2 linked regions of the Mytilus edulis genome follow. The protein of the gene in region 1 purifies or fractionates together with the protein of each later gene. This does not show direct contact. Links are inferred from orthologs where the notes say so. Each region holds a gene or a part of one and is shown on either strand. Other genes may lie near its edges.

The links.
Region 2: the proteins of protein phosphatase 1G-like (region 1) and importin subunit beta-1-like purify together in Homo sapiens (affinity purification with mass spectrometry; 3 studies listed by BioGRID and IntAct, with this or other methods). This does not show direct contact. The link is inferred for Mytilus edulis from reciprocal best matches to the Homo sapiens genes PPM1G and KPNB1.

What each region holds. Positions count from the first base shown.
Region 1 is NC_092344.1:110,067,980-110,079,654, forward strand, and holds the start of protein phosphatase 1G-like, read right to left. Parts: upstream 4,765-11,675; 5' UTR 4,660-4,764; coding exon 4,549-4,659; intron 1-4,548. Other genes in the region: nuclear receptor-binding protein-like, read left to right, coding at 5,008-5,124, 9,527-9,649, 11,400-11,501.
Region 2 is NC_092357.1:50,290,817-50,302,196, reverse strand, and holds the start of importin subunit beta-1-like, read right to left. Parts: upstream 4,543-11,380; 5' UTR 4,407-4,542; coding exon 4,367-4,406; intron 1-4,366.

The DNA.
Region 1 (11,675 bases):
AAAAAAAATAGAATTAAATATGGATGGTCTAATTTTCCCAAAAACACAAAATCAAGACATCTAGAATATTTATCGAGAAGAGACTCTTGAGGAATATATATAAGATCCATTTTGTTACATCTCGTGATCAATTTTATTTGGCAATCACCAATGACAGTCAGCAGGGTTTAAGAACATCAGTTGTTCGACCTGTTAGTCAAATGCGTCTATTTTAAATATACTTTTTCACTTCTTTGGTCTTTTGGATAATGTTGTTTGTGCTGTATTTAGACCCTTCTACAACGAAATTTGTTTTACATGCACATGTGTATAAAAATTGCGGTTTTTATCCAACGCAATCATAGGTTTGAACGGAGTTTTCAATTTAGACTTGTATATATATACAACTCGTCTAAACATCAACCCAGCAATGCTAGATCTGTAAATTTGCTTTCGCAATTTTTTTGTTCTTCCCTCGCCGGGATTTGAACCCATGCTACTGAGATATCGTGACACTAAATCACCTGCACTGCAGCCGTTCCACTAGACCACACGACCACCTGGGCTTCTATATATATATATATATATATAACTCGTCTAAACATCAACCCAACAATGTTAGATCTTTAGATTTGCTTGCGCAAATTTTCTGTTCTTCCCTCGCCGGGATTTGAACCCATGCTTCTGAGATATCGAGACACCAAATCACCTGCACTGTATCCGGCGCACTAGACCTAACAACCACCTGGGCTTCATAAATATTGAAGCCTTCAGGTGCCTGGTGTTACCTTTCCTCGTCGGTTTTAATCTAGTGTCGTAATACAGTACATGATGATGATATATAAGGCATGAAGATGTTATTGTTACAGATCAGCTAAATTATCTATGATAAAGGATCCTACAAATTAACGTAAGATACAGTCACAGAAATAATTATATTTATAAGTACGTCTGAACCAGTGTCAACTCTACAACAGATATATACATGTATATATATATATATGATAATGATAATGTAACAACATAGTTTTGATAGCATATTAAAACATATATATATCATTAATCAAATTAAATACTATTCAATAAGTTGTGTTTATCTTGTAACCTTGAACATGTGAACACTATACATTTGTTTACTTATCAATGACTCTCATTTTAGTATGAGAAAAGAATATAAGGCTTTTTTATTTTTTATAAGTTGGTTTACGGATCTGTCGACCTGATTTTGTCTAAAAGTGAAATAAAATAAAAATTTTAGATTTCATGTTGTTTTTATTCCGCCGACCTGAATTTTCGAGTGCAGTAAAAAAATAATCTAAGGAGTTTCAAAAAGTTTTGTTTTGTGTTAAATTCTGTTGTTGTCATGAACGACGCATTCCAAATAAAACTTTCAAATGATGCAGACTAATTACATAAACGTGTGTTTCACTCCCCTGAAACCTACGTGCCATTGAATAAAACATTGTTCTCAATCTTTGATATCCCCCCTTCATGCCCTTATATCCTTACAGACACTCTCAGTCTCAGATCAATATTTACAATGCTTTTTACGAAAAAAATTATAAATAAGAAGTGACATTTTCCCCAACGAATATTATAATATAAACCATCGGAATAGTTTACCCGAAAAAGTTGTGTCTGCAAAGATCGTTGATAACTTTAAAATACAATTTGATCATCATTGGGAAGATGTTATGTACCAGTTCTAGTGATAAATTGGGGACTATTATTTTTATTACAAATTTTTATTGTTTCTTATTATGAGTGCTTTGGCATTAGGAAGAAATAAGATACCAGTTCTAGTGATGAATTTGGACTTCTTTAAATATTAGCTTTTTTAAAATTTTAATTATTAGTCAACCAAAAGTGACCAATAAAATGCAGGATTATTATGAGTTTAGTTTTTAGATCAAGTACAAATTTGGGTGGGCTTAAAAAGGATTGATTTTTTTTACCTCCTCCGACCCTAACTTTTCACAGCAGTTGTCTGTATTAAAACCAAGTAATAAAAAAAGAGGTTTAAACGAAGTAACTTATCCAGGGGAATACTTTAACCTACAAAATTTCAGAAATTCAGGAAACAGCTGAATATTAAATTTTCCTGTTTTTAAAACAAAATCAGTATATATTTTTGGGGCAAATGAAATTTTCAAAATTTCGCACATGTGTAATGTACCTATCAAATTACAAGCTGTTAAATTAATGAACCCCAAATATATATATAACAAATAAATGGCTTTAAAAAGTTGATTTGCAATTAATGGAGATTAAAAGAAACTAGATATCATTGAGATGGGAGCCATCTCTGTGGGCCCCGCTGTGAATAATGTGCATTAAAAAATTGTATCTTTACCATAGGACATGGGTTTGTCAACTGAAATCAAAGTTTTTGACCTTGACCTTTGACCTAGGAAGTTGTAAATAAATTATGACACACCCTTTGGTGTTGGTTTATATACATGTCAAGTATAAACTTTGAAATGATAACGGTTCTCAAGATATAGAGCGGACACGATCTTTACCATAGGACATGGGGTTGTCAACTGAAACCAAAGTTTTTGACTTTTAACTTTGCCCTAGACAGTCGTTCATAAATTATGACACACCCTCTGTTGTTGGTTCATATACATGTCAAGTATAAACTTTGAAATCATAACGGCTCTCAAGATATAGAGCGAACACGATCTTCACCACAGGACACAGGGTTGTCAACTGAAACCAAAGTTTTTTTACCTTGACCTTTGACCTAGGAAGTTGTACATACATCATGACACGCCCTCTGGTGGTGGTTAATAAAGATGTAAAGTATAAAGTATGAAATCATAATGGTTCTCGAGATTCGGACGGACGGACGGACGGACAGACTGATCACTATAGGGCGACCCGCCTTTGACCTAGGAAGTTGTATATACATCATGACACGCCCTCTGGTGGTGGTTAATAAACATGTAAAGTATAAAGTATGAAATCATAATGGTTCTCTAAATATGGAGCGGACACAAAGTTAAAGTGTTACGGACGGACAGACTGATAACTATAGGGCGAACCGCCTTTGACCTAGGAAGTTGTACATACATCATGACACGCCCTCTGGTGGTGGTTAATAAAGATGTAAAGTATAAAGTATGAAATCATAATGGTTCTCGAGATTCGGACGGACGGACGGACGGACAGACTGATCACTATAGGGCGACCCGCCTTTGACCTAGGAAGTTGTATATACATCATGACACGCCCTCTGGTGGTGGTTAATAAACATGTAAAGTATAAAGAATGAAATCATAATGGTTCTCTAGATTCGGACGGACGGACGGACAGACTGATCACTATAGGGCGACCCGCCTGAAGGCGGGGCCCTAATAATCCCACAATTAAAAGATTGTGGTACATCCTGTGTATCCATGTACCTTTCACTTAAAAAAAACCCAATAAACAATTATTATAGTGGAAAAAAATTCACAACATAATTTAATTTCAAGAAACCTTGATGAATATCAACTATAAGAATTTATGAAATTTGTGTCAAAAATTAAGAAACCCCCTTCTTGACAGTTCTACAAATATCTGGTAATTCCGTGCATTAGCTAATTTTAAATGCCAATAAAGATTGAAACCCAACAGACTGTCAAGGATGTTGAGCAAACTTATTTCATTTAAAAAAAAATTGATTACAAAACACTAATTTTATCCAGGGTATGATGTAATTTTTTATAATAGAAAATGGCTAAATATATGCAAGCCTCAAATCTATGTCCGGCCTCAAATCTATGTCCTATTTAATATTGTGTCAGACGTTCCAAATCTATGTCCTGTATAATTTCACATTTATGTCCTTTATTTACTCTATGGCCATTTTTGGCTCAAATCTATGTCCTTTCATTGACGTAGGACATAGCAAAACATCATCAAGTATATGACGAAACTGCATAACAGGATTGATGGCGGAGCAGGACGCTATACCAAATGAGGGATACATTATATTTAATAAGCATAAAAAAAAGGTATTTCAAAGGATCTAAATCCAGAAGCGTTTTGGGCAGATAGGCCTTACATTGTTCACAGTGTGATCACTTAAAAGGTAGGTCAGTAGTGGTTTTTCTTTTTGCGATTTATGAATGGAATGTGAAAAACTATATCTCGAGTGAATGCGATTGATAGTTTAATTATTTTTACCGATAACCGCTACGAATTTCAGCTGACGGCGACTATACACGAAATCCCCATATTATAGATAATTTCCGTATATATTTCACATTTCATTTCCCAATCCTATAGCATTTTACTAGAAAACCAGATGTGGGTACGCGCAGCCAAGACCGTCAATATGACTATTCGTACCCGCATGCGGGTACGCGCAGACACTGCCTAGTTAAAATGAAAGCAACTGACTTAATTAAACAATAAATGGACTGTTATGTAGCTTTTTAAAGTGTATTTGACAACATTTCTTAAGACATTATCATGGATTTTTTTTTATTGTTTTCTTCAATGGAAGTCGTTCAAGCAAAACTAAGAAATTTAGACTTTTAAGGGTCATAATATTTTTGATCATGATGATGTTGTTTTCACCTCTTGCGCCATTCGCCAACCCTGCATTGAAGATGCCCCATATTTGAAACCTTGACATGTTTCGTCACTTGAAATTTTTTCAGTGTTTGGCGTCGACAAATAGACACCCATAATGTCGCTAAATTAGTCAATATCTTTGGTAAACATTCCAGATTTCCACATGTGTATTTCGCGGTTAGTTCCCCATTGGTCATGTGATCAAATAACAAGTCCGACGAAAATATTATATGTTAAACAAGAGGTGGAAATTGGATTACTTAAAATGAATCCATTGTCATGAACAATATTGATAAGTTTTTACCTTTTTATATAACCTGGAGGGCGCGACTCTTTCATTTCTGTTTATTTTTATTCTAATATTTGCTGCTGAAGTTGTGATCTATCCAATTTCCGTCTGCTCCGAAGGTAAATAAATTTTTCGTGAATGATCAGAAATTTTGTTCATATAAGAACTTTGACATGGGAGATGTAGACCAGGAACAACCAGAAAAAAATGACAGTGCTGACGAGTCTGAAGATGAAGGGGAAGTCTTAGAATATTCGCCATGTGGCAGATGGCAGAAAAGAAGAGAAGAAGTAAGAAAATAATCAAATTTACTTCACTATCTTCATAATTTCATTTTGGAGGAGTGCCTACATTGGCAGAATTTATATTGATACAGATTGAAAACTTTTTCTATGAAATATCACTCACTTAAATGTATTACAAGATTACTAACATTTGGGAAAAGGAATACAATAGTCATAGCAGTTGTACTACATCATGTACATGTATATGGACCATAATTTGCTATTGGGCTCGTTTCCTATAACGATAGAAAAGTGATAAAAATGTGTATTACTGTAAGAAAAGTTGTAACTACATCTAAAGAAGCCTTTATTTTTATCAACATACAAGTGTATGCTACTCTTCCCTAGAAAAAAAATTGAAATTAACAAATTTCAAAGATTATACGACAGTATTTTTGTGTCGTTTCTCGCGTTACTTTTCGCTTCCGAAGTGCATAACGCTGACTGATTTATAACCGGCAAATTCGTAACTTTTGCTTTCAAATAATAAAGAACATCGACCAATTAGAATAGTCAGAAGAAAATGCCGAGAACTATAAGTATTTCTGTAGCAGGTGTAAGAACACTAGCGTTACTTTGGTTTCCAATTTCGTAACGCAAATTTTAGATGATGTAATCTGCTTTGTTGTAATAGAATTCTTTATAACAATATGCAAATATGAACTCTCGCGAGATGTTCAAACAGGTAAATCAGAGATGATTTACATTCTAGTTTTGTTCTTCGTAATAATTAAGTTAGAAAATGACGTTATCGTTATGCGTTACATTTCAAACGAAACTGAAGTCCAGTTATTTCCTTTTTTTTTATTAAAATTGTTTTTGTCGTTAAGTTCTAATCATTTCCGGTCATACGTGAAACATGTGACTAACATGTGATCACGCCCTTGCGGCCAGATGTATGAAATACTAGGTATAAACATTGTTTTTGTTTCCAACGGGATGTTAGCAAACATAATCTGTAGACTTGTTTCGTCTTGTTTAAAAAAGGAAAATACAATTTTCAAAGAGATTGCACCGGGGGTCTATTGTTTTTCCTATGTGCATAATGTTACATACGATCTTGTGTGAAAATAAATGCCCAATGACTTGACAAAATCGATTTCAGATTTGACAGACGTTATGACACACTTTGTTTCCTGATAACGATGTAAAGGGTCCTTTGAAAATTCAATCGACATTACGTCTCTTATCATTGTGCCGATGCTCGTTGGCTTGATTTTGCTTCAGCAGTAAATATTACTGGATATTTTAGGTGAATAAAGATAACTTAATAAAAAATACATGTTAATATACCGTTACACTTGGAGTGTACAAAGTTGCTATCTTTGTCACAATTTTTAATTATTTTTTTTTATTCATGTTCTGCAAACACTTTTCAGAAACGCAATAAACTTGTCAAAGGAGAAGTAAACTTTTCCATGCATGACTTGAAAGGAAGTAATTTATTGATTTTAGCCCACTAAAGTAGGTTAAAATGTGGAAACCATGTAGATGGTGTACAGGTCACAAATATCACATGGTGCCTATTTTAAAGATTTTAATTCCAAGTTAAAAGTTTTTTTCTTTACTGGATTTAAAGAATTTTACATTGCCAATGATTTGGAATAAATTGTATATAACTGGAATTTCAAAACCAAATATAAATACATTTTTTTGGCTAAAACATCAAGATACAACGATTATGGTATCCTGTATCAATGAAGAAAATATGGAAATTTCTGAATAAATTGTTAATGAATGGCTATTATCTATTTTGAATTTATTGAACCATAAAACTAATTTTTGACTCTTCACATTGAATAATCCGCGAAGCGGATTATGTAAAATGTGAAGAGTCAAAAATTAGTTTTATGGTTCAATAAAATCAAAATAAATTATTGCCATTCATTATAAATAAATTTCTATCAAAAATAAGGCTCAAGGAACATTTTATATTATTTATATTAACAATAACAATTAACGTACACACATGTTGGCGTATGAATACACAACGTCAGAGTGGGCGTGTCGCCATCAAAATTGACAACATTGAAAATAAAACTAATAATTTTAACCAATCAGAAGACAGTAAATACACCAAATTTATTTATTACTAATTGTTTTCAAAACAAGCACATATTTAGGAGTTTTATAATACTGTTACATTTAAGATGGATTTTAAGAAAAAGTATACTGTTCAGACTATTTTAAGCAGATTTTGCAATAAAATAAAACTAAAAAAATGCTTTCGGTTTCTTATGGTTTCCTGTCGCGTTTAAAAAAAACATTGAAAATAAATTTTAAATATTAACATGAAGCAAGTAACACTAGTAATGGTGTTCATTTATGTCTTTTGAAATATATTGTACAAAATAAAGAAAATATAGATTGGTTTTCTGTTTGGTTTCCTGTCATGTAAACGGTGAATCAAAATGTATTATTTTTTTCTTGAAAAACTCAATTGTTCCATTAATACTATTCTAACACCAACACAACCCACAGAATAAAAGTTAAAGTTTTAGAACTTATAAAAAAGGATACAAAAAGAAACCAAAGGCCGAATACCAAATTATGGTCCATATATGGTATAGCCGAGGCTATAGCAATACACTTACCAAAACTCCATTATAAAATAATTTATTAAACACAAAAACATAAAAACATAAGGGTGCGAAATAGAATTTAAGTGCCAAAGTGATAAGGGCCTTAAAGGGGTGAATATGAATGGGCGTGAACATGTTTTTGATCTTCAATCTTCAATCTTTGTCGTGATGACAGAGTAATCTCTCTTGTGAATTATCCTCTCTTGTAAAATTATTATCACTAGTGTAGTTTCTCCTTTGTACTTAGATATTGTAGGTGGCGCTTTAAAAATATTATAGACTTATATAAATGTATCAAGTGAAAAAAAAAGAAAAAAATGGTTAATGAGGTTATCGAAATGGCATGAAAAATTAAAAAATATTAAAAATTAAAAGAAATTTGTATTAAATTATCCACTAAAACGGTTTGTTTCCTCTATGTACTCCGCTAATAGTTGATTGATACTTTCTGCATTTGGCAAATTGATTGTTTATAATAAATTGTCTAAATCTGTTGGAATGTTTTTGGCGAATGGACCTAGATTCTAGTATTGTATTATTATGGTGACTGTAAAATTTAATTAAGATTAAAATCATAAGATAGACTGCAAGTCTAATCAGTGCCAGGGTAATTCAACACTTAATGTGCATTCTGTACCTGTATGAATACCTTGCCAATACCAATACTGGCTTTAATTCAACGGTTTGAGAATCTGCCACCGATTTATTGGCGTGAGAGCAGATTTGAAGCTCTCTGTTCTTGATGAGTGCACTTCAGTGTTGTCTAGCTGATTCCACACGATCACTGTCTTTACAAAGAATGAGTTTGAATATTGTGGTGTTTTGCTTTGTGGAATGTCAAAACACTTAGAGTGATTCTTTACTTGCTATCCACAATATTTGTTGCGTGGTATTCTTCAAAAGTTATAGTCCTCAGCTGTTTTATTTGAGGATAACATGCACCTATACTGTGGAAATTGCAATGTTTAATAAACAGTCTTGTGTATACATGATGTACATAGTACATTACAGATAAGGTTTTTACGAATTGCTAGGAACAAACTGTGGTGATACAATGAAGTTACTGTGTATATGTTAAAGGGGCACTAACTGTCAAATTCATTGTAACCGATTTGACTCAAATTCTCATATTTGGTTTATAACCATGTAAAACATTTATCCAAACTATCAAAAGTCTAAAATAAACAGTTTACAGAGCATGGGGTAGATAATATATAGGTTCGTTTCGTGTGTATTTTAGTCCAGACACCATCTAATTAACTATCGATTTGACCTCAGATGACCAAATAAGCGATGTAAACAAAAATAAAGATACGAATAGATTAAACCAACACGTGCAATTGGATTTTTATAGGTCTGTTTGATTTCATTTTATAGATTAAAAATAGATGTTTCTCATTGTTTTTAATCATATAAGAATGATTTTATGTGCATCGAATTAGTAATCAAATGATTTACTGTAGTTTCATTTTCATTGTTGACATTCTTTTTCTTTAAATAACCAGTACACGTACAATGCATGCGTTGTCAATCTCTAGCTAGGGGTTAACTTGAAGTTCACATGAATACCGGTTAGAATGATGATGACATTTTCACTTGCAAGTGAATCAGTCAAAAATTATGTTTAATCGCTTATTTCAACAAAATTAAAGAAAATTGATTGCTAAAAGCAAATTATTATTTCATTATTCTAATTCGATTAATGATTGATCTAAAAAAAATCATACTTTATTTTTTTATATATATCATAGCTAGTGCCCCTTTAATGCTTAAATGATTTTAAAAAAGATGTTTTAATTTAAACACACTATAAAATATTTTTGTAGGTAGAGCAGCGTGATGTTCCAGGTATTGATTATGCCTTTCTTGCTATGGACACAGAAGAAGGTGTCGAAGTGGTATGGAATGAAGTGCAGTTTTCAGAAAACAGAAATTTGAAGGCTCAAGAGGTACTTCATTATAGATACATGTTTATGAATCCAGCATTCATAATTATATATGTGTTACTACATTTGTAGAAACTATGTTGGGTTGGCACACATTCAGAAGGTCTAGCTCAAGTATGAACAGTATTTATATTTTATATTTTGATATGTATATATAGTATCAAGTGTACCATAGTTCTATTGCTACATACTGAATCTGTCATAAATTTATTGAAAAAATCTTTATATATATATATATATCAATCCTTGTTTAGCAATGCAATTGAATGTATCCTTAGGGAGTTTTATGTTTCCAATTATATCTCTGACCTACATTTTATGTTTCAAAGAAATATTAAGTTTTACACCAGAGTTCAAATCTAATATATACATATTATATGATAATGAAGTGACCTATGATCATATAACTTTCTGAAAAGAAAGCCATTATGACATAATTTTTAAGCTTCATCTCTAGTACATACTGTTTGTGACAAGAAAAACTGAATTAAGCTAAAATATAGTTGCATCTTTCCTCTATGACCTGACAAGTTATATTTATAGATCGGTATGTTTACAATTTTGAAGATTGATTGCTTATTAGCCTAAGTCAAATGTATATAATGAGAATAAGAGTGTCAGGTACAAGGGTCTGGAAACGGTCATATATGCCAGTCTTGACCTAAACTGAAAGTATTTTGTCCTAAATGAGTAATTGGGATTTAGGACAAATTTTATTTTTTTACAGAAACAATTTCGGTCATTTAATGTCATTTCGTTGAGATCGAGTTTCTAACATTGTCTAAATCACCATTTTGAACTTATTTTTTGTTTATTATCCTTTTCCTGTTATAAAACTGCCACTCTAGTAAAGTGTTATAATCCTGAGGGCCCTCCTAATAACTATAGTAATGCCTCGTGGAAATATTGGCTAATGATCGCTAATCTCTTTACCTGTGTTTTTAATTAAATTTTCTATTGATCACAAGCTCAGAACTAATATTTTAAAGAAATTAAAAGTTCATAACAACTGTCTGCAATATTTAATTACTTTTCTCACCTTAGACATTGTCAATTCTGATTTAAAATTAAATTAAAATTAAATTAATTTACGTAGAACAAAATATTGTTTCACTACAAACACACGTGCTTGAAATGCTCCTCCGAAAATTAGACACTAAATCGTAAATTCAAAATGATTTCATGCTAAATTAAAAAAGTCCAACTATTATAATTAATATTCAAACACTATTAAAGGTAAAACAGTTAAAAAGCCAACGATTTCCTGTGAATTTGATAAACAAAACTAATCCCGGAAATGAGTCTGGAATTGGTCGTTTTACTATTGTCGTAAAACATCCGGTTATAATTTTGTCTTCAAAATGGAAAGAAACGTAAGCGAAGTTTGAGAAATTTATCGTTTTGAGTCATTAAAATCATTTCATTTTTAAACTGTTGCCTTCCTTTTATTGCTCAAGATCGATTTTAAGGAAAATGGTAGGGAAATTTCTGAAGTAAATGCGATGCAACAGTTAAACAAGTTTGTTGATGCTACACGTATCACTGTATGAGCATACACACAATCTTTGTTTGAAAAAGGGCACCAACTTTTAAGTTATCCGAAAATGACCGAAATTAGGTGAAAAAATTTCCGGATCCTTGGTCAGGTAATTATAATATATTAATACAAATAGTTTAAGTAAATTAAAGGATTAAAATGAATACATATCTGTAAAAGCAATAAAATTAACTAATAATGTAACTATCATTGCAGGACAAAATAAGACAGGTGTTTGATAACTTAATCCAGTTAGACCATCCAAATATAGTCAAATTCCACAAGTACTGGACAGACACAAAAGATGGAAAATCAAGAGTAAGTAAATATTAAAGTTACATTTAGGCCAGGGTTTTTTAATTTGTTGGTTTACGGATTTTCCCCATGAAAAAATCGGGTCGGTCGGTCAAGGAAAAAAAGAAAAAAAAATAATTTTCAAGACAGAAAAATATGCAAAATATATATATATTTCACCTTTCTAACAATATGTTT
Region 2 (11,380 bases), on another chromosome or scaffold:
TGATTTAATTGAGTGAAAAATTTCGAGAGTTAAGTATCTTGTGTTTTATTAAGGTTTATAATTTTTTTTAGTCAATTGCCTGAGGTCTATAGCTAAGTGTCTTGGATCAGACTTATATTCATTTACATCACAAACAGCAGCAAACTTTTTGGACTCTTTTTGTTGTGCATGATGATGTATTGATTTTGAGTCATTGATGGATATATTTTGTTTTTCTATATACATGATATATATCTAATTATAAGCATTTGATTTACAAGGAAAATTTTATCTGAAGATGTAAAAATTTCAATTGAAAATGGTTTAACAGGTCAGTGATATTGTTTGCCTCAAATTACAGCCGAAATTCGGCTTTTTCCCCTAGAGAAAATTTCCAATAACTAAAAAAATGGCTTAAAATTACTCACAAAAAGTTTTACATTTTCCCAAAACAGTGATGGCATTAGGGTAATGTTTGTAAATATCGTATTCATGTCATTATTATGATAATAGAAAGCACTTTTGAGATCCAGATTTCTGATCAGAATCATCATGGTGTTTGTAACACATGTGGTTTTCAATGCATTAAGTACCATCATTGCGTCTGTTTGACAACCAAAATATACATGAAAAAACAGTGCAAAAAAAGACAGCAAAGGTCAGCAAAATATCAGAGATGTGTTTAGAATAAAATAAACAAATTTCAAAATTTCAATAAAAAATATGCATTTTCCCCCAATAAAAAACGATAGAGGTAGTTTTGAAAAAAGACAACAATATCACTGCAGGTTGGGGGACAATTAACTATTCCCCAAATGTGGTAAAAAAAGGTTTTCTGAACAGTTTATTTTATTAAAATCACACATTCTGATATTCATGGAGAATGTCTCCAACCTGTTAAATAATGCCCAAGAATATGCAACCAATCGATCTCTGAAATGGAAAAAATATCAGTCCAAGAATAGCAAAAAATCATTCCAAAAATATAGCTGAACCAATTAAACAACAGCTGGAGGAATATCTTACCAACACTGATACATATGAGCACCAAGAATCTCCATTTGGTAAGGCTATTAATCAGGCTATGGATATGCTAATAACAACAAAAGTAGACATAAAACTGATAGAACCAGAGTTTTACCTACAAGCAGGGATCTCCATGGCCTGTTTAATGATGGCGACCCGCCATCGTTCAAATGACTCGCGCCATCGTTAAATTGTCTTGCGCCATCGTTCAAAACTTCATCGTTTTTTAAAGCCAGACGCCATTTTTTTTATCAATTATAATCAAATGCATGTAATTGCATGAATAACCCTTAGACCTTTTATGTTATAATACAGTTCTGACGCCTGAGGGATATCCGGATCAAGATCGCGAATCACTTGTACCTGAGCTTGTAGAGGTAGATCAACAAACCAGACAAAATACTATCTGAGGATAGACGATCCATTTGTCGAATTAATCAACTAAGTTTCAGCAAATGATTATGATAATTTAGATTAAATAAATAAATTAATAATCCAGTTACAAAGAAAACAGTTTAACAAGTCGAACACGTGCTTTATTTTGACTTACGCAATCAGTATCCCCCCTTTTTTAAGAATTACAAAATAAGATGCAAAACAGTAAATATTATTTCATCGCAAATAACTCGAGTCCTGCTGTAACGATAATTTAGAATTTCTTTAAAAGTTTAAAAGTAAAAAACTTAAATATTTCCTGTAAAGAAATATCGTATAGTAATTCCAAATTCATTTCGTATGTTACAATCAAATTGATACATCCGCGTTTCCGGTTTCTATTCAGACTCGAAAGATGCATGTTGCACAACATCAATTTGCCAGATAAAGTCATTAAAAAACCTTTTCATTTGTCAATGTTTGCTTTACAAATCTCTTTAACCCTTTAAATAACCCGTACGAATCGTTTTGTTGGTGCTGCAAATCAGCCATACCGGTAATGGGTTCTGAATTTAACAGTGTCCATGAAAAATAAGCTCCACATCATATGATTTTTAACCCCCATAACAATTACCAAAAATACAAGAAATCTACATGGGGACCTTCATGACAGCTTTTGGTCATTCTTGACTAAGGGGGTCCATGAAGACTTGGCATTTGAATGGTTAAAAACGGCAATAAATGAAAATATTGATACTTCTAATTCTATAATGAAAATTCAAATAATTTACATAAGCAATGAATTAGCATGTTCACCATTCCTTGTATGGAGGGATAAAATACTTCCAATCGCGCTACACTGTACAGCGTAGACACGGTTTGTAATGGTGAAAGTTCCTCCATCGTTCAATTTCCATCCATGGAGATCCCTGTACAAGGCAGGAGTAGACTTTATGCTGATGAGAGCACCAAGCTACTGCGAGTTGTTTTGGAAGCTCTAAAAACAGAACTGCAGAGCAAACTGCCCAAAGCAAACAAGTAGTACAAAAACTTATGGGAGAAAACTCCGAGTCAACAGCTATCGCATTTACAGATGGCTCCTGTCAGGGAAATCCACGACCTTGTGGAGCAGGAGCAGTTATATATACTGAGAACCAACAAGGAACTAGCCTAAAAAGACCAGTAGCTAGAAGAGGTTCAATACTCTTAGCGGAACTCATAGCTATCCTTATGGTCCTAGAACACTGCATTTACACACTTAGAGAACAGTTCACTGAAATAAAGATCATATCAGATAGCCAGACAGCGGTTGGCATCTTGACTCTCAACTGGAAGTTATCGAACTATACAGACACTATTACAGACATGAAAGAAAGCATTGGGACCATCCTGAGAGGCAGTATACAAACTACCCTATCTTGGATCCCAGGCCATGCTAATATAGCCGGGAATGAGATAGCGGACCAGTTAGCAAAAGATGCAGCACAGGAGGCCTCAAATCTAAATGACCAGTAAAACTTCATAACCACGTCTGATGTAAAAAGCACAGTAAAGATGTCAACCAAACTAAAATGGCAAAATAGATGGACTAGAAGTGAAACTGGGAGACAACTACACGAATAAGTTCCTATTGTAGGCAAGACCCATCAACTTGATTACCCGAAACCAAACTATTAGGAGAATCATGTCTGAATTCAGAACTGGCTACAATAGGCTAAATAAATATCGTCATCAGATACTAACAGAGAAATTTAGTACCAGGATTTTTCATTATATGTAATATGCCGTCATTGCACAACTATTCAAATGAATCGACCATAGTTTACATAAATAAAACTGAAAACAAGACAGTGGCCTCCAAAATTGAAGTTGTGCAGGTGTCTTCGTACATGTCAACAAATATTATATCTGAAAATATATTACTTCTAATTGGTGCTTTTTCTACTAAGAATTTTAACTTCAGAAATAAAATATCTTCAAGTTACAATGATTAAGGTTCATGTGGACCCTATGGCTAAAATGGCTGTATTTTCACCTCAAAATTTACTCTTGAGTACAGGCAAACCTGTGCATCTGAAAAAGTTTTAAGGCATAGCATGCCCTAGATAAATAGAATTCAAATGCATTGTATGAATTAGAAAATTCACAACTTAACTGGAATTTGCCGTTCACTTTTTTTCGTCCCTGCAGAAGATGATAAAATTAACAGTTGAGTTTACCTTGATATGGTCCACTCAGGTACACACTTTAAATGACCAATTATTGTTAGGTATCTATTGTCCATCTCATGTCCATGTCAAGCAATACAGCTCACTTCAATTATTACCTGTGGGGAAGTTCTCAAACCTGTTTCCCAACTTAGTTTATTTTGGCACCTTCTGGAGGAATGAAAAAAGTGCACGGCAAAATTCTGGTAAGTTTTTATTTTTCTAAAACAAATTTGAAATTTATTTATCTAGGGCATGCTATGCCTGGAATTTTTTACAGATGCACAGGTTTGTCTGTACTCAGAGTAAATTTTGAGGTGAAAATACGGCCATTTTAGCCATAGGGTCCACATAAACCTTAATGACCTTTCATGATCACATACAGGTCAACCAGTACAGTTCATTTAAAAATCAAAATCGTGATTTTGTTAGTGATAACTGTTTCTGAGGTATAATAGCCATATATCTTCAAATAAAGCTTAACCTTATTGATCATTTTCAACTGCTGATATTCAAAATAGATACAATGGACAATTTTGCTACTTGGCATTTCACAAAGTATGGTGTTCGTTTTTTTTTTATCGTTGATCAGTCTAGTTCAGGTTATGTGATGGATTCTTTTAAGAAAAATAAACATCTCCGATCTTTTCATAAGCAACAAGTGAATGTTGACAAAATAAAAAGACATTAAAATATATTCAGAATCCCATGCAGTCCGCGAGAAAATATGTGAACAATGTCAACTGGTGAATGAATGAATGTGGAAAAAAGTGAATTACCAGGCGAAATTGTTTTCTCTAAAATGCTAACAAGGTCCATCTTGATGTCTACAGTGTAAAAATGTGTTTATATATTCTGCTCGTTCCTGAAATTTCTTTAAATTGGCCGGTCAGCCAGTTCCCATGTGGGAAGCGTGATAATCCAAGATGGCGAAGAGAAGGTTTGCCGGCAGAAGTCAGCCGAGGTATTTTAAAAGGCTTGTTTTCATTGGACGAAAATGAACTATTTGCAGAATTCTTGCAAAATGTATCCAACCAAATTAAGGTTTATTTCAGAATGAACTATTTCACATCCTTTCTTATTTTTGCAGTTGACTGTAAAAAAACTCGAAAAAAAAGGAATCACTTGACATTGTTTGAATTTCAAAATACAATGAGAATAACAATAAAAGGTATATTTCGACTTTAACTACCAAAAATAATAAATAGATTTTATGTATCCGACAAGAAATGTGATTCGGCCAAAACATTTTCCCGCCAAAAAATGAATACTATCTACTTGCAAGCTTGCAGTTTCGCCAATTTTTTTCATTCCCCCAATCAGGGACTTATAGTATAGAAAGTCCCTGCCTCAATCGAATGATATCAATTGCCTGTAACCTGTCTAAGAGCACCCATCAGTCATCTTGTGTATTTCAAATTATTTGATTCTAAAGTTTCCAAAAAAAAAATCTCGGGTTGGAACAATACTGAATTATTTTCTCCAGGAACATAAAGTTGTTAACAAACTGTTCCCAGCTTTCTCAGACAGTATTGAACATAAATATACAATTAAATGATTCATATTACTTGATTTTATTGAATGTTATTTTTTAATCTTGAACTATATTGACGTCACTTTGTTTATGCCCTTAATTCGACCGGAGTCTGCATGGCCTGCATGAGAATACAATATTCATCTGACATCTATCTGGGAACAGTATATCTAACATAATATATATGTTCCTGCATCTATAGAATAGAATACGGAATATTTTTATTTCCCAAATAACAGGGCCCATTAAGGGCATAAAATCAGATACAATTGATTATAATTGGTAACCGTCAGTACAACAATAAAAGTCACAGAGTACATGATATAAATACATATTTAGTAGAAACTGTATATTAGCATTGGTCAAAATCAAGCCAAAAACCATATATTTATTGTGAATAAAAGATTTTTTTTTACATTATATTCATTCTCAAATCATTAACGAGGGAGGGTAGGAGGGTCCTGATCCCGAAATCCCGGACTTAAAAACACCAGATCCCGAAATCCCGGGCTTAAAAACACAAAATCCCGAGGTCCCGAAATTCGAAAAAAAGAATTCCCGGATCCCGAAGGGGTCAATCACGAAATCCCGAGCTTAAAAACACCCGATCCCGGAGTACCGATAAAGGTCCTATCCCCCTCATTAACTTGACTTTTAGTGTCAATACTCATACCTGATCTCCTTAATTCAAAACAGTCACCAATATAACAGCCCAGTTTTTACATAAGAATTACATTTTCTTTGGTCAAGGGCCATAAACATTTAGAAGATTTATTTAAGATTTTAAAATTACATCAATTCGGTTAGAAATGTATTGAAAAAAGGAACTGTATATTTGAACATACAATTGCTTGATCTATATAAGTCTGGGTGGGTTCTTCATGAAAGCGAAAAACAATTAAACTGCACCCCATGACATACTGAGAACCCATGCCCGATGTACAGTAAATATTGATGCACGTGCTTCCCTCGACCTAACACGGGTGTCCACCGATGCAGGACGTGACAGCCATACTGCCATGACGTCCACAGGATGTATCGGTCATACCCCGAAAAGATGAAACGGCCACACGACAAAAACGGCCATACTTTGTAAAGACGTATCGTCCATGGTTTTTTATTTTTATTTTTTATAGATGTTATATATGAATTATTTTGATACTTATAGATGGTTATTATAACTTTTGAATAAACTATACTGTTTTTACATTATCTATCATGTTTAATTTTGTTAAATCCTCCGAAAGAAGGTTGTTAATTGCTTATTATTACTCCTTTGATGAACACAAGTATTAATTATGCTTTTGTCAAGAAATTATAAAGGAAATATAATATATTAATTCGAGATCACTATAAAAATACAGCACCCAAGCTGAGACTCAGAGTTCAAGCGGAGTGCAAACATACATTACGTAGTAAACGAGATAATGGGTCAAAAACTGGCACAAAAGAAGTTGTACCCGACAGAATTCAAACTGCACGCAAAACTGTCTATGCTCTAATGGGCGCAGGCCTCCATGGCCTTAATGGTATGAATCCAAAAGTGTCTCTTCATCTCATTAACTGTTATGTAATCCCAAGGTTATTGTATGGATTGGATGTGATTTGTCTGTCAGCAAAAGATATTAAAAACCTTAGTACTTATTTCATTAAACTCATGAAACAAATACAGCACCTACCAGAAAGAACTGCTAATACTGGTACTCTATTGTTACTAGGTCAGATCCCAATTGAAGCTGTTGTTCATAAGCGAATGTTATGTACTTTTAGAAACAGTGTAGCGAACAAAAACTCTGTTGAATATAATATTGCCAATAGACAATTAGCTATTAAAAGCAAGGCATGTTCTGAGTGGTTGGACTGACATCCATAAAGGCGTACCACATGGTTCGATACTAGGGCCATTGTTGTTTAACATATTTATAAATGATATTTTTCTTTTTGTTAAAAATGGTAGTTTATATAACTGTGCAGATGACAATACTTTGTCTTTTTGTACTCCAGATTTCGATTTATTAATTTCAACTTTGGAAAATTGGTTTTCAAAGGTTTAAACAAATTACCACCAGTAATGCAAGTCTTAGATAGCATTTCATATTGTTCGGCATTTTTTCTCTCTTGCAAAGAAACCGAACATCAAGTAAATCCCTCACATGTTAGTTTACTTTTGTCTGTATTTCATTGGTACGTTAATGATATATCACTATATATAAAGTTCTATCCTGTTACCGAGGCCGTAACTAGGCATCTTATTTTAGTGAGGAGGGTATGAAATGAATGGTGCAAAATCCTGCATTCTAGGCATTTTTAGAGAGTTTGATAATGTTTTGAATTGGACACTTTTTATATAAATTTTTCATATTTTAAGACTTTTACTAACACCAAATTTTTAACAACTTTATGTAAATTTATATGTAAGATAATAATCCAAATATCACTGATTTGAGTCTGCTGCCAGAACATAGAACAAACATAGATTCAGAAGAGTTTGTCAAATTTTTCTATGGCCGGTTCAGTCAAATCGTTTTAGAATCATAATTTGGTCTTCTGATATCCTTATCGCGATGAACATGGAGCATGGCAAGACCGCACAATCTCTCGCTCTTTTCCAAGTTTTCAGTCGTTTCAGGGCAGTCTGTGTTCCTAAAAGTAGCACATTATCATCAACACAATGATCAATGTCTTCTTCCAATTCCTTCTCCATCAGCAATTCGGTAGCAGCTTTTGTTTGCAAAAGGGAATTAAGCTTTCCTGTAAGCACCATCAGTCGCAGTTACAAAATATTAAACTCGCTTTTATGCTGACAAAGAGTAGACAAACTAGGGATAGAATGAGATAACATACATGTATATGATTCTATCTATAGAGTAAGTATATATGATATGGGTACAGGGAAATTGGAATGGAGTTTTTGACGTTTACATGTAGTTCCGTAATTTCAAATTATTTCTGGAAATAGTTGGTGGTATTTTAGTTCCAGAATCTATAAATTTAGGGGTTAGGGGTTGGGGTGTCCGATTCCGAAACCCCGAATATAAAGAAACGAAATTCCGTAGTCCCGAATAAGTAAAGACAAATCCTGTGTTTAATTAATTTAATAAGGTTCTACCATTCCTCAATAATATGGGATATTCTTTCAATTTTTAAGGTTAAAGAAACATGGATAAAAACTAATCCATGCATTCATGTTTCATATTATTTATATTTTATTTATCTGTAAAGAGAAAGATTAAAGTTCGTGAAATGAATACGCAGATAGCACTGCCCCCTTGCGATGCCCAGTACTTGATTTGTCAAAAGTTGGTGAAACGGAGAAATGAATACGCAGACAGGACTGCCCCTTTCCGAAGACCACTACTTGATTTGTCAGTCTACTTATCGTTTTTGGATTGTTCTAATGAAGTTATATGCAATACTCAGACTCTGTTCACAAAAAAAAAACTAGTTTACTAGAATTATTCCTTCTTTACCTTCAGTGTCGCTTTTCCTTTTTCTGCAAGAGCCTGTTTTTAACTAAAGATCCATGATGATTATCGTTACTAGATTAATGTTACCGAGAAACATCACCCGTTGAGATGCTGAGTTATATCCAGGAAGAATAGTTTAAAAGGAATGATGACAAGTTATAGCAATTAAGGTTGAGACAGAACAACAAATGACTATTATCTATACTATTAAACGAGAAGACCTCATTTTTGGTGTCGCTTCTCCTCCTTTCACAAGAAAATAATCATCATGCCTCTGTGTCCTATAGGTAACATGTATAGTCGCATTTGTCATCCATTCTTATGATCATTAAGTTTGGGTTATTTTGGGATAAAAAACGAAAAAGAATGCGTCCGGATATTTTCCCGTCATTGGACAAAACTTTAAGTCAGATTAGACTTCCGGTTTGTGTTTTTCTGTACTTCGAACATACAAAGACTATGAAATAAAGTATATGAATTTGCTTTCTGCTATCATTTTGAGATCTAGCATGTATCATCCTTGCTTAACGTGTTTCAGTTTGGGTTATTTTGGGAGGAAAACGAAAATGAATAATATTTGCTATTTACTATCAATTAGTTTACAGTGGCGGATCCAGAACTTTTCATAAGGGAGGGGGGGGGGGGGGGGGGCGTTGACTGACATAAGGGGGGGGGGGGGTTACTCTCATGTTTCCCCATATAATCTACAATCTTTTTTCAACGAAATGGGGGGCAGCCCCCCACCCCCCCCCCCACCCCATATGTATATAAGTACCTTTGACTTTTGATACCTCTCCTGAAATTCTCTGTATTGAGTAATTAAAGTATATATGCATGTTCATAGAGTACAGAAAAACAGAAGGTATAAAAATCTGTATTTGGAAAATAGGAGGAGGGCAAAAAAATGTGCCCAGTCCCTAAGTACCTTTGAATTTTGATACCTCTCCTGAAATTCTCCAGTCAGTATATTTTTTTTACAGTTTACATACGCTCTATTTCCCCGCGATTTCGCGGGTGTGTTCTAGTATTTATATATATGTATAAAAAAAAAATAATCAGTGTCGAAATTTTAGTGAGGCAATTGCCTCACTTGCCTCAAGGGTTACCTTTTTGTCTATCCTGTTACCGATATCAGTATTTCTCCTGCAAATGCTAAATTGGGAAGATTTTTTTCATTTCCTGAGGTTGACTATTACTTTGAATAAGTACTGTTATGCCAAAGGGATCAGACCGTTATTTATGATTATGTATGATTACATATACAAAAACCCATCATAAATCATATTAATCCAATCATTGGACGCGTATCTCTAGTACTGATCTGTTTAATGCAAATTCAGTTTACAAATTTCGGAGGTGTTAATCCTTTAATTAGTTTACGTGATTGCCAACCAATTATCAAACAAATTTACAATTATTAACGTGAAGGTGTATGCTGTATGGTTTATATGTGTGTTGTATATTTGTTTGTCTGTATGACTGAATGAATAAATAAAATATATTAAACGAAAATATTATCTTTTTGTGTTTCTTATACTATATTGGTATGATTGTCCATAAGCTTCAGACAGTCCATAATACATGTCTCCATCAACAAATGCACAAAAAGGGGAACATCTAAATCGTCAAAAAAACAGTATTCAACCGTGACAATGAACAAAGCAATACGAACATTCCTGAAACCATAATTTATCATGTTATTAGGAATGACTCTAAACTATAAGAAAGAAGAAAAACACAGAATTATTAAACTATATATATGATGATCAGGACAAATATAACTCGAATTGCCTTCCGTAGAGTTAACCTTTACACTGAGTACTGTTTGAAATTTCACTTAGACTGATTTTCTCTACAAATCTTTTGACTCGTAAAAGTAGACTATAAAATCATCACAGATTTGTTTAGAATAATATACCTTTTACAGATATAATAAAAAGATCGGTAACATGTGCTTGTAATTTGTATTTATATATATCGTCATCGACAGCGGCAGTCAACTCCTATAGTTTCAACTTCATATAAAATATATTTCTTGAAAATTATATGCAAGTCAACTAATTTGTTTTCCTCTAACAAAACTATATCAAATATTGTCATTTATTACCCTTTGTATATTTCAATGATTGAATTGTGTATATACTAGTAATATATATTGTAAATTAATGTATGAATGTATGAATGTTAACTGTATGCATGTATTTTGTTTGAGGGCCTCAATGAAAATTAGACTATTTCTAATTGAGTTACCCTCTTTAAATAAAGAATTTATTATTATTATTATTATTATTATAAGATGCCTTTATATCACATCATATTTATGTTATTACTATGAATGCATACTTATTTTATTATTATACTTTATGTTATAACCTCAATAACAAAAAATTAAAGTGTGGACGATACGTCTCACAAGGTATGGCCGATACGTCCCATGGACGATGTGGCGGTATGGACGATTTATCCCCGGCTTAGTATATATCTAGGATTTTGATTGGTTAACGCACGTCGTTACAAAACCCATAGCCCCTGGGTGTTGCTAACCCATATCCCCGGACGTTGCTAACCATTGTCCCGGGGAACTTCACGCAATTTTTCCTTCGTTCCATGATTGCTCCTTGTGAAATATTGAATTCTGTAGATTATCCATGATGTTTGTAATGAAATATTTAATTCATTACAATTTTGTCCTATTATGTCGATCATTTACACTCATTTCATTAAATGCATCACTTGACTACCACATTTTCAAGGAATGGGACTACTGACCTAGCAATGCAAATGACCCATGT